Linked DNA regions of Macaca mulatta. The protein of the gene in region 1 interacts with the protein of each later gene in a pairwise test. Links are inferred from orthologs where the notes say so. Each region holds a gene or a part of one and is shown in the gene's direction. Other genes may lie near its edges.

Region 1 (3,740 bases):
TTGGGACCCAGGAACCCAGGCATGACACAGAGATGGGAGGGAAAGGTTCTCAGGAGTCCCAGCCTGGGAGGGTGTTAGTTCCTCTGTGAGAGCTCCGCTGCACCCAGCCTGGGGTGTGGGGAGGCCTCTGTGGGCACCTGAATCTTCACTCTAGACGCTAAGGTTATTCCAGGGTTGCTTTGTTGTCTCTTGTTTCCACTAACAGCACAGTAGAGCCTCCTGCCTCCCTCCCTCCCCCACCCCTTCCAGACCGAGGCTATTTATTCCTAGTGACAAGCCTGAGGATCCCAGGGGGGGTGGCCTCAAGGACCTGGAGGGGCCTCGTGTCCCTAGCAGGCGCCAGTCCTCCCTCACGGACACAGGGAGGAAGCCAGAGGTTTAGACACTGCAGAGGTCCCCTCCCCTCTCCTCCACCACCCCTGCAGTGCCCCATCCTCTCACACTCCTCACACCCCACCCTAGAAGCCCAAAGATCATGGGGCCAAGGATTAGGGTCTCTCCTGGGCCTCAAAGGTCAAAACTATTCCTGGGCACTGCGGAAACCCAGGCAAGACAGGACTTCTCAGCGTCAGGAGGCCACTGGAGGTGGGGAGGTGGTTACCCCTGTTTTTGCTACTCAAAGTTGTGGAGTAAAACCCTTTGGAGGTCAAGGCCCTGTGGTGGGGAGGGGTCCTCTCTTCGCCCCATGTTTTCAGAGAACACATTGGTGCCCGCTGACAGGCTCATGACAGTAGAGTCAAAACCTCCTCCTCCAGGCTGGATTAAGGCCAGGTTGAGTGTCACCCCTAAGGGTAAGGTGAGGGGGTGGGGAAATCCGAGGAGGCCACAGGACTCTTCCCCAGTGGACCATGGTCTGTGGGGTCTGATGTCCCCGGCCTGAGATAGAATACAACAGTCTCCCTCTGGCAGCTGGGGACGGGGGGGGGGGGGGGGGGGGGGGGTGGGAGGGGAGGAGAGCAGAGGCTGCGGGGAGGGGACAGGGGCGGGGTCCCGGCCGCCTGAAGGTTGGGAGAGCCAGGTTAGGCCGGGCAGGAGGAGGGGGCCGGGCCCGCTGGCGGCCGAAAGGGAGGTGGGGGCGGGGTCTGGCCCCCGCAGCGGGCTGGGGGGCCGGGGGCGGGGTCCGGGCGGGGCGGGCCCGCGCTCACTTCCTCGGGGAGGGGTTGGGGCCGCGCTCCCACTCGCCCACACGGTCCGTCTGCAGTCGGCAGCCTAGCCGGCAGCTCGCTCGGCCCCCGCTTGGCCCGGCCCGCAGGTAGGAGCCGCCGAGGGACGCGGCGCCCGGTTCCCCGCCCCGCCCGCGCCGCGCGCTCCCCGCTCCCGCCGCCCGCTTCGAGGTGAGCGCCCCGCCGACCCCGGCTCCCAGCCCCGGCAGTCCGCCCCCGCGCCCAGGCCGGGGAGCGAAAGGACCCGCGGAGGGCTGAGGCCAGCCGCGGCCCCGGCCCCCTGTACCCGCCAGGCTCTGGCCACAGGTGCCCGGGGCACGCCGAGCCCGGGAGAGCGCCCGCCCGGACTAGACCCCTCCGGGCTGCCGGGCGGGGCGGGGCGGGGGCGGGGGTGGCAGCGAGAGTTGGGCGGGGGAGGGGGCTAAGTTTGAAATAGAAAAGCCGGATAGAGACAGACCGACCAGAAGCGCTGGAGAAACTGAGGTTCTCGCAGAGCCCAGTGGAGCGAGAGACCAAGACAGGCAGGGACTCGAGGCACAGGAGGAGGCTACCGAGACCATTGAAACAAGGACACACCGGGCGTACAGTGTTACCGGTGGACAGACCCGAGACATGGGGGCCGTCCCAGGCTTTCTGGAGCATTTTCAGAAAACATACGTGGGACCCCAGCGAACACATTCCCTGGGGCCCTTCCCCAGGCCTTGGAGGTGCCCTGAGGCTTGGGCGTCATTGGCCTCAGGCTGAATCTGCTCTCTGAGGCCTGCAGAGACACTCAGAGACTAGAGACAGAGACACTCAGGCATGCAGAGGTGGCGAAAGAGACTTGGATATAGAGACAGAGAAAGGGATGTGGTGGGGATTGAGACATTCAGCCATGTAGACAAGAAGAGACCAAGACTTGAGATCCACAGAGGCATGGGCCGCCGGGGGACAGCCAGTCAAGGTACAGAGTCGTCCAAAAGCTAAAGACAGAAGCTGTGTCCAGACACAGAGATGCTGAGTGAAGCAGAGACAGACACCGGAGACTGAGACTTAGTGGGGGCAGAGAGACCTAGGTGGGCTGACAGCTTCCAGGACAGCCCCTGACTTACCCAGACCTGAACCATTGGGAAGTGAGGCTCTGGGGAAACAGAAACTCTGAGCCCACCAATCCCCCATGGGGCAGAGGCCCTGAGACAGTAAGTTCGAGATCAAGAAGAACCCCGTGGACACACACAGCCACCAAGACAGCCCCAACTTATTTTTAAACTCAAATCTTGGACAGGCTGCCTCTGCCCTGGGGGACCCAGGGTGAATGAACTGTTCCTCTCCTGTCCCCAGAGCAGCTGCGGGATCCTGCTCCCCAGCCCCCTTCCCTAGACTTCTCTGACTTCCAGGTCCCATGGGGGAGAGCAGAGCTTGGGGTTGGTGCCCGGTAGCAGAGGGTGAGGGTTGAGGGAGTTGAATTTCTCCCCTTAAGTCTCCTGTCAGCTTCTAGAAGGTGGGGGAGGGGTCTGTTCTGATCCTGACTCACAGCTGTGGGACCTGGCCGGGGTCCTCCTGGATAGTGGGCATGTTGGGGGTGGGGGACAGAAGAGTTGAATGGTTGGCATGGGGCATTGGAAAGGCTTCTGGGTGCCTTCCAATCACAGGGCTGGCAGCTGGGGAGAAGAGCCAGGCTCTAGTGCATCTCCTGTCCCCCTGCCCTTAAAAGCTGATCATCCCCTTCATCACCAGGGCAGTATTTTTAGGGAGACAGAAGAGCTCTGGCCTGGGAGGCAGGGGACCTGGGTCCTGATAACTGAGTGACCTCGGGCATAAGCCTGCTCTATTCCTGCCTCCTTGTGCTCATCTGTAAAATGGGGATGATACTCTGTCCTGCCTGCCTTTTGTGAGATCTGATGAGATGGTGGTGGGCATGGACTTTGTGAGTGGCAAAGCAGCATGCAGGTGTCTACACCTGTGGACCTGTGTGGGAGATCTCAAGAGTTATGCTTACTAGAGTCAGGCTGACTGGGCTGGAGCAACCACTGCCCCCACTGGTGTCCTCAGCAAGCCCCATGGGCCTGGGGCCTCCTATTCTCTCCCTGGGCCTAGGCTGAGAATGTCCAGGTCAAATTTCAGACAAGGCTGGGCACAGTGGTTCACGCCTGTAATCCCAGCACTTTAGAAGGCTGAGGCCAGAGGATCACCAGGAGTTCAAGACCAGCCTGGACAACATAGTGAGAACCCCATCTCTACAAAAAACAGAAAAACCTAGCTGGGCATGGTGGCATGTGGCTGTAGTCCCAACTACTCAGGAGGCTGAGGCAGGTGGCTTGCTTGAGCCCAGAGTAGGTTTTTTTTGTTTTGTTTTGTTTTTTTGAGATAGAGTTTTGCTGTTGTAACCCAGGATGGAGTGTAATGACATGATCTTAGCTTACTGCAGCCTTCACTTTCTTGGTTCAAGCAATTCTCCTGCCTCAGCCTCCTGAGTAGCTGGGATTACAGGCGCCTGCCACCATGCCCAGTTAATTTTTGTATTTTTAGCAGAGGTGGGTTTTCGCCATGTTGGCCAGGCTGGTCTTGAACTCCTGACCTCAGGTGATCCACCTGCCT
Region 2 (3,740 bases), on another chromosome or scaffold:
CCTGCGCGCCCCGGGCGCCCGCTGCACTCGGCGGCGCCGCGAAGGGCGCCTACGACCGCGCGCGGCCGCGCCCTCCCTGCGAGCGGCTCTGCGCGCCCAGCTCCCGGCCTCCCGGTGGCGCCGCACCGAACCGCCCGTCTCGCCGTCAGGGCTGTGATTATTTTCTAAAATCCGGAGTCGAGACCGCGCGGCCGCTCTCGGGGCCCCGCCCCGCGCCCCTTCCCGGGGCGGGGGAGAGGCCACAGCGCACTCGGGAGCGGGCGAGGGAATCCCTCTCCCTCCACGTCACCCGAAAGCGAGGAAACCCGCACTCGCGTCCTCTAACGCAAATGACCATCTTTGGCAACGTGCGCCAATGGAACAGACCAAGGGCGCTGGGCCCGGGGGGTGAGCGGGGGGCGGGGGAGGGCCGGGGCTGCCTCGGCGCCCCCCAACCGTGCGGGCCGCCCGCTCCCGCCCGGGCCACCGCCTGGCTTCCTCGCGCGGGGTGCGCGGCTGGCGTCAGCGCGGCCGGGAGCCGGGGCTGGGAGGGAAGAGCTGCGCCCGCCTCCTCCCCTCCTGCGCCTCTTCCTCCTCCGCGGCCTCCTCCCCCCCCGCCTCCTCGTGCGCTCCTCCCTGCAAGGTGGAGTCTGGGGTTGACGTGAGTGAATCCACATGGTACAGGGCTGGAGAATAAAGAGTGTGAGTTGAACTCGTGCCATTGTAGTGACTCATCTCGGGCAGAGCGCTAGGGCTTCGAGCGAACCAGCGAGCGAGCGAACGAGCGGCGCTCGGCGGGGACAGAAAGAGGGAGAGGGAGAGGCGCGGTCGGGCGAGGCGGGCCCGTCCGGGAGCGGGCGCCGGGGAAGGGGTGCAGGTCCGGGCGCCGGAGCGGGGAGCAGGGCCGCGTCCCTCTCAGCGCCAGCTCAGCTTGAGCCCCACGAGCCGCTGTCCCCCTGGCGCGCTCGGGGCCGCGGGACGGGCGCACGCCGCCTTCTCCCAGTCAAGTATCCGAGCCGCCCCGAAACTCCGGCGGCGAGTCGGCCACGGGAAGTTTATTCTCCGGCTCCTTTTCTGAAAGGAAGAAACAGAAGTTTCTCCCAGCGGACAGCTTTTCTTTCCGCCTTTTTGGCCCTGTCTGAAATCGGAGGGTCCCGGGGGCTGGCAGGCCAGGCTCTCTGGGCTCCTAGTCTTTTTAATTTCCAGTTTTTGATTGGGCCGTGGGTCCCGGCTGAGCTCCGGCTGCGCGCGGGGGCGGGAGGGCGCGCGCAGGGGAGGGACCGAGAGACGCGCCGACTTTTTAGAGGGAGGGACCGGGTGGACAACTGGTCCCGCGGCGTTCTCAGAGCCGGAAAGAAGTGCCGTAAGAGGCGCTCGGGGGACGCTGTTCCCGAGGTGTCGCCGCCTCCTTGTCCTCGCCCGCCGCGGTTGGGGAGAAACCCAGGAGCGAAACCCAGAGCCCGCGGCGCGGCCGGCGGACGAACGAGCGCGCAGCAGCCGGTGCGCGGCCGCGGCGAGGGCGGGGGAAGAAAAACACCCTGTTTCCCCTCCGGCCCCTACCGCGGATCATGTACCAGGATTATCCCGGGAACTTTGACACCTCGTCCCGGGGCAGCAGCGGCTCTCCTGCGCACGCCGAGTCGTACTCCAGCGGCGGCGGCGGCCAGCAGGTAGGTGCGGGCCCCGGTGCACCTGGCGGCGCGGGCGGACCCCTGCCCTCCTCTCGCCGCCACTGCCTCTTTTGCTTTCTTTTCCTTTTCTTAGCGAAAAAATACCTACGGGCCACCGTTGTTAAGTTCTGGATTTTCGTCCTCTCCTCCCCCACCACCCCCTTTTACATCAGGGGATTGGGGAGTGGGCTTGAAAAGACAACATGCCCTTTTCCTCCCACATTATATTTTACCCAGATAAACTCCTGGAATTGTAGGCCCCCTACCAGGAAGAGCCTGTTACCTCCTCCCATGAACTACTCCCCCTCCCCAGTGCCCGCCCCTCCTCGCCCCCCGCCCCGAGTCTTCTTTCTGGATGGTGGACAGACAAGAAAATCTTTGCACCCACTGGCACCTTTCGACATCCTGGGACCCTATTCTTTCAGGAAAGCCCTCTCTCTCTCCCCTCCTCGTTCTCCATCAGTCTTAGCTCCTTTCTGAAAGGGGTTGGGGATCCAGAAACATGGTTGGACTCCTTCAAGTAATCTGGAGCGAGGGCGAGGGCTGCCGCTCTGGGAATCAGGTGCGAAGGTCAGGAAGGAAGAAGCCAGCCTTGATTGGCTCATGCCGCCTGTGTGCCCAGTGCATGCCCGCCTGCCCGCCCGTCTTCTGTAAGGGTCGAGGACAGGAGGCTGCACTGCCCCGCAGGAACGAAGGAGCACCGTGAGGGTCTGGGGGTACCTGGAGCAAGGAGGCCGGCAGAGAGAAGAGGGGGTCGGGTGGGGGAAGAGACATCACACAGGCTCCTGGGTGGTTCTGGAAGCAGAAAACAACTTGTTTCTAAAGCAGCCGGACTGGTTTGCGGTGGAGGGATTGTGCGTGTGATCTCTGTGTTTATAAATACCAGGAAGGTACTGTTGTTGCGGGGCGGGGGGGGGGGGGTGCTGATGGCGTGCCTGCCCTCTGCTGCGGCTCCCCACCCGCTCTGTCTCAAGAGAGAGCTGGGTTAACGCAGGCCCAATACAACATGAAGCCCACGGTGGTCAGCATCTGTGGAGTCTAGCACAGTTGGCTGCAGCAAGGGATGCTCCATAAGGCGGTGGCCTTGGCCTCTAGAAGGGGCTGGGGTGGGCTTCCAGGGAGGGGTAGATTCAGCTGGAAAGTCTTATGGAACATGGCTCTCTTTTGGATCTGATGAGGGATCCCTTGTTCCAAAGTGATTCCCTATACCTGATGAGTCCCCAAAATGGCTTTTCTGCCTTCCCTCTGCCTCCCATGGTGCTCCTATAAGCACCCGCAGTAGAGACAGCCTGGTCTGTTCATTGAGGGTGCAGTCAATGCACCGTTCGTATTGAGCACCAAGGTGATGAGTTTTAAATCCGAAAAGTTACTGGTTATGTTTGCTTCCCAGCCCCGTTGGTGGTTTGTATTGAATGTAAACATCCTGAGGGAATAGGCTGAAGTCTGTACCCTCCGTCTCCCGTTCAACAAACCCCAAACGCCTGTCCTCCTCCCTGGAATCAGGAAGGGATCTTTTGATTTCTTCCCTGTTCTTTTCCCTAATGTGTCTTTGGCAGTTATCGTTGGAGTATTACAATCTCACTGCCTGGCTTAGCATAGACCCTGGGGCCTGCCGGGATGTCAGACCGGACATCATTGCCCCAACTGAATAATCTGTGTCACTAGGGCTTTGAGCCCAGGATGTGAGCGGAGGCAATTCCCGGTTTTGGAAGAAAATCAGACAGGAAACCAGTGCTAGGAAGAAGGAAGAGAACTCAGTCCAGCAGAGTGTAATAGGGCCTCATTACCGAAGCAAAAAGCAGCTGTTGGCTAATTCCTAGCATGCTGTAACACATGAGGATTTTGCAATTAGTAATAACCAGTGCACGGGGTTCTCACATAGACGCCTGCCCATTCGACCTGGCAGTGTGTGAGACGCCTTTCAAACCAGAGGGACTGGCAAGGTAATGCCACTTGAGACGAGGTTCTTGGCCTGTCCGCTCCTTGGTGTGGTCGTGGTTGGGTGGGGGACGAGGAGGAACGGGGTGGATTTTTCCGTCGTTGCTCCAACTGTGAACAAAATCGTTCTGTGGTCCTGAGGACTGACCTCAG
Region 3 (3,740 bases), on another chromosome or scaffold:
GGAAGGAAGGGAGGAAGGGAGGGAGGGAACAGAAGAGAAGGAAGGAAGGAAAGAAGAAGGAAGGGAGGGAGGGAGGGAAGGAAAGAAGAAGGAAGGGAGGGAGGGAGGGAAGGAAAGAAGAAGGGAGGGAGGGAAGAGAAGGGAGGGAAGGAAAAAGGAAGGAAGGAGAAAAGGAAGGAAGAGAGGGAAGGGAAGGAAGAGAAGGAAGAGAACGAAGGAAGGAAAGAAAGAAAGAAAAAGAAAGAAGAAAGAAAAAGAGAAAGAAAGACAGACAGACAGACAGACAGACAGACAGACAGGACAGGACAGGACTCTCCTGGGGGAGATTCTTGCGGGTCCTGTGCTAGTCCCGTGTGGGGCCTCCTCCGTCCTCTTTAGGAGAGCTACACCTTTCTCTGCCTCATTCAATTCTCAAGTCCTGTGGTGTCAGTGCCCCGTCGCCTCCAGACCACTCAGCCCACACCGGACCCCAGTGCCCCCTGCAGAAGCCCAGGATATGGGGCAGGGAAGGCCCTGGCACTGGTTCAGAACCACTGCCCCCAGAGCTGGGAAAGGTTGACCCAATGGTCAGTGACCCCAGTGAAGCTCCATGGCCTCAAGCCACCAGGCACCGCCAGGGGCCAGTCGCAAAAGTGGTCTCAGGGCCGGCTGGAAAGAGGCTGAATCCTGCTTTGCCGGTGCACGGCCCCCAGGGCCAGAGGTCAGGGACTCGAGCCCAGAGACCACCCTCGCCGCGCGGGCCAGGATGCGGCGGAATCAGGTCGCCTCAATCCGTGCGCGCCGGACTCCGGGCAGTGCCCAGCGCCCCTATCGGGCCTCAGTTTACCCCACTGTCCAAAAAACTCCCCGCGCCCCAGGACGGCAGAACTGGCTACTCCGGACTGCGGGCCCGGCCGACGGGGGCGGAACCGCGGGGGGGGGACCACAGGCCAGCGCCGGGCCCCCTCCCCGCCCCCTCCCCGCCCCCTCCCCGCCGCGGAGCGGCCGCGGGAATAACGCGAGAGTTCGCCCCCTCCCCCCCGCAGTAAAACTGTCAAAGGTGGGAGGGGCGGGAGCGCGCATGTGCGCAGCGCGGCGCGCAGCCTGCGCCGCCCGGACCCACCGCCCCGCGCCCCGCGCCCCGCGCCCCCCACCCCGGCCCGGCTCGGCCCGGCCGCAGCCCCGCTGGGCGCCGCAGGTAAGCGCCCGGCCGTGCCCCAGCCCCGATCTGGCCGCAGCCCCGGCGCCCACCGCGCCCCGGATCTCGACCCCGCGCGCAGGCCGAGGAGGGGGCCGGGCCCGGAGCCCCCCCGCCCCCCGCCGCGCCCGAGCCCCCGCGCCCCGCGCCGGCGCCGTCTTCCTGCCTCCTCCTTCTCCAGAAAAAGTCGCCATTTTGGTTCACTGCCTTCGCCCCCCCACCCCGCGCCCGCGATCGGCCCTGCCCGGCCAGGCCGAGGCCCGCGCCCCGCGCCCGCGCCCGCTCCCGGCCCCAGGTGACAGGTGGGTGGCGAGGCTGGCCCCAGGTGCGCGTCCCTGGCCGCGCTCACCCGCGCGCCAGCCTGGGCCGGGGTCCCGGGCCGAACGGCCTACGCGGCGGACCCGCTGCTGGCGTCTCCTGCGCGCAGCGCGGCGGAGCCCCCTCTCCCCGCCAGGGCTCCGTGTGCCCGCTGGGCTCGGGAGGGCCGAAGCCCCTTCTCGCCCGGGGCGCCAGTCGCGTCTCTACCTCCCAGGCCGGCCCTGGCCTCAGGTCCCACTACTCTGAATTCTTCTCCCAGGCTTCAGAAAAATTGGGGCCACCGGGGTCGTCAGGTGCTGGGATGACTCATGCGGACCCTGTCTCCTTTCAAAGTTGCAAAGTGAGGACTTCCAGAGAACTTTGTGCCCGGACACTGGCCTCCCCCTTGGCAATGGGCAGTGACTGTCCTGACCTCTGACCTCAGCTCTCTGGCCCTCCTGGACACAGCAGCCCCTTCCCATCCCCTCTGATCTAAGTTAATTAGAAGGTATCAGGAGGGGGCCACCTGCCCACCCAGCCCTCACCCTGCTTCCTGTCCCACCTCTTTCCGTGGCTTTTCCACAGGGCTGAGCCCAGAGTCTCCTCTGCTCCCCAGCTCTCAGGATGGGGTTCCCAGCAGCACAGGACCTCGGGGGGGCCCAGCGTTGGGCAGCAGGGCATTCTCTCTGGCCAGCAGCCTGGGCCTTCACTGCTAGTGCTTCCACTACTTGTTTGGCTGAGGTGGTGGTAATGGGTCTGTGGGCAGGGGACTGAGAGTTCCAGAGAGAGATTGGGGGCGGGTCAGCCTGCCAGGCCCGCAGACAAGTCTGTGAAGAGGGTCAGGGGGGATAGCTCAGCCAGAACAGAGACAGAAGCCTGGTGCAGGGCTGGAGTGGGCTGGGGGTCCTCAGTGCCCACCTTGGCTGTTTTCCATCTGTGTCTGGAGAGAAGATTCCAAGGGTACCTGCCTGGGTAGGTTGGCATTGCATCAGGTCTGCATGGGAGGGTACCAGGGCCCCAGTGAGAAGCTGTGCCCCCACTGCTGGGCCCGGGCAGCTTGTGAGCCAGCAGCCATCATCGGAGACATAATTGTCCCCTGGAGGAATGTTGCCAGCCTCCTTCCTCCTGCACAAGGCACCTCTCCCGGGGGCACACCCCTCCCAGCATCACCTCCAGCATCATCTCTGCAGCTATGGGGCTGTGTGTTGGGAAGGGGATCTGGAAGCTGGTGAGGGTCTCAGGACAGGACTAGATCCTTCCAAACTGATGACGCCTCCTGGGTTATCTGGGGAGACCTTGGCTGGCAGCCCCTCCCCTAAGTCAGAACCCCCCATCACTTGCTTTTCCCACGTGAACAAAACCACAGGAGGGCAGGCCCCTCTTCCCTGACCAGCGAGGACCTGCCAAGGGCGGGGCTCCAGGGCAGCCTCACCACGTGTTCTGAGTGGGGCCCGTCAGGCCTCACAGATTGTCTACTTGCTCCGCAGAGATGACGGATCCTTTCTGCGTTGGAGGCCGTCGGCCCCCGGGGTCCAGCAAGAGTGGTCCCGGGAAGGATGGCAGTCGAAAGGAGGTCCGACTTCCAATGCTGCATGATCCACCGAAGATGGGTAAGAGGAGTCAGGGCCAAAGTCAATTCTGGGCATGGTTCTGGGCAGCAAGGGGTAGGAGTGGGCCACGGCCCCGGGCATCCTGTCTCCAGGTACCCAGCTAGGCCCCTTGAGTTCCCAAGGACCTTACCAGGGGAAGGGTTGCCTTGGACATCGCCCAGGGCCCTGGGTTCTTGTCCTCAGCTGGCCACAGCCCCTGCTCCCGGTGCCCTGGTGTTGGGACAGTGGCGCTCACTGTGGGCCTGTGCAGCCCCCAGTGGTAGACAGTGCTACACAGCTTCCGAGCCTTGCTGTGTTATGTGCTGCAGGGATGCCGGTGGTCCGTGGTGGACAGACAGTGCCTGGCCAAGCCCCTCTCTGCTTTGACCCAGGAAGTCCAGCCAGCGACAAGACAGAAGGGAAGAAAAAGGGGCGGCCAAAAGCCGAGAACCAGGCCCTCCGAGACATTCCTGTGAGCTCCCTCAGGGCCATGGTGGGGCTCATGCTGGGGTCTCCCTGTCCAGCCACTGCCCTGCCCTGATTTGTCCTCTGCACATCTGGTACCAACTCTGTGCCTCAAGGTGTGGGCACTGGCCTGGCAGGCTTCATGTGGTCTGGCTTTATATCTGGTGTGCCGGGAGATTCTGGGCTCCTAGAGCAGGTCTTGTGCATGGCCC

What was found. The genes of interacting proteins can lie anywhere in the genome.
Region 2: the proteins of FHL3 (region 1) and FOSL2 interact in binary tests that used the Homo sapiens proteins (3 or more experiments, as listed by UniProt). The two-hybrid records come from large-scale screens. The link is inferred for Macaca mulatta from reciprocal best matches to the Homo sapiens genes FHL3 and FOSL2.
Region 3: the proteins of FHL3 (region 1) and ZNF512B interact in binary tests that used the Homo sapiens proteins (3 or more experiments, as listed by UniProt). The two-hybrid records come from large-scale screens. The link is inferred for Macaca mulatta from reciprocal best matches to the Homo sapiens genes FHL3 and ZNF512B.

The regions. Positions count from the first base shown.
Region 1 is NC_133406.1:202,788,786-202,792,525, forward strand, and holds the start of FHL3 (four and a half LIM domains protein 3), read left to right. Parts: upstream 1-1,147; 5' UTR 1,148-1,334; intron 1,335-1,621; exon of another isoform or gene 1,622-1,964; coding exon of another isoform or gene 1,965-2,106; intron 2,107-3,740. UniProt on the Homo sapiens protein: Recruited by SOX15 to FOXK1 promoters where it acts as a transcriptional coactivator of FOXK1.
Region 2 is NC_133418.1:96,585,622-96,589,361, reverse strand, and holds the start of FOSL2 (fos-related antigen 2), read left to right. Parts: upstream 1-1,124; 5' UTR 1,125-1,547; coding exon 1,548-1,649; intron 1,650-2,369; exon of another isoform or gene 2,370-2,539; intron 2,540-3,454; exon of another isoform or gene 3,455-3,592; intron 3,593-3,740.
Region 3 is NC_133415.1:116,852,466-116,856,205, reverse strand, and holds the start of ZNF512B (zinc finger protein 512B), read left to right. Parts: upstream 1-1,060; 5' UTR 1,061-1,177; intron 1,178-1,337; exon of another isoform or gene 1,338-1,479; intron 1,480-1,754; exon of another isoform or gene 1,755-1,828; 5' UTR 1,829-1,982; intron 1,983-2,961; 5' UTR 2,962-2,963; coding exon 2,964-3,084; intron 3,085-3,392; coding exon 3,393-3,535; intron 3,536-3,740. UniProt on the Homo sapiens protein: Involved in transcriptional regulation by repressing gene expression. Associates with the nucleosome remodeling and histone deacetylase (NuRD) complex, which promotes transcriptional repression by histone deacetylation and nucleosome remodeling.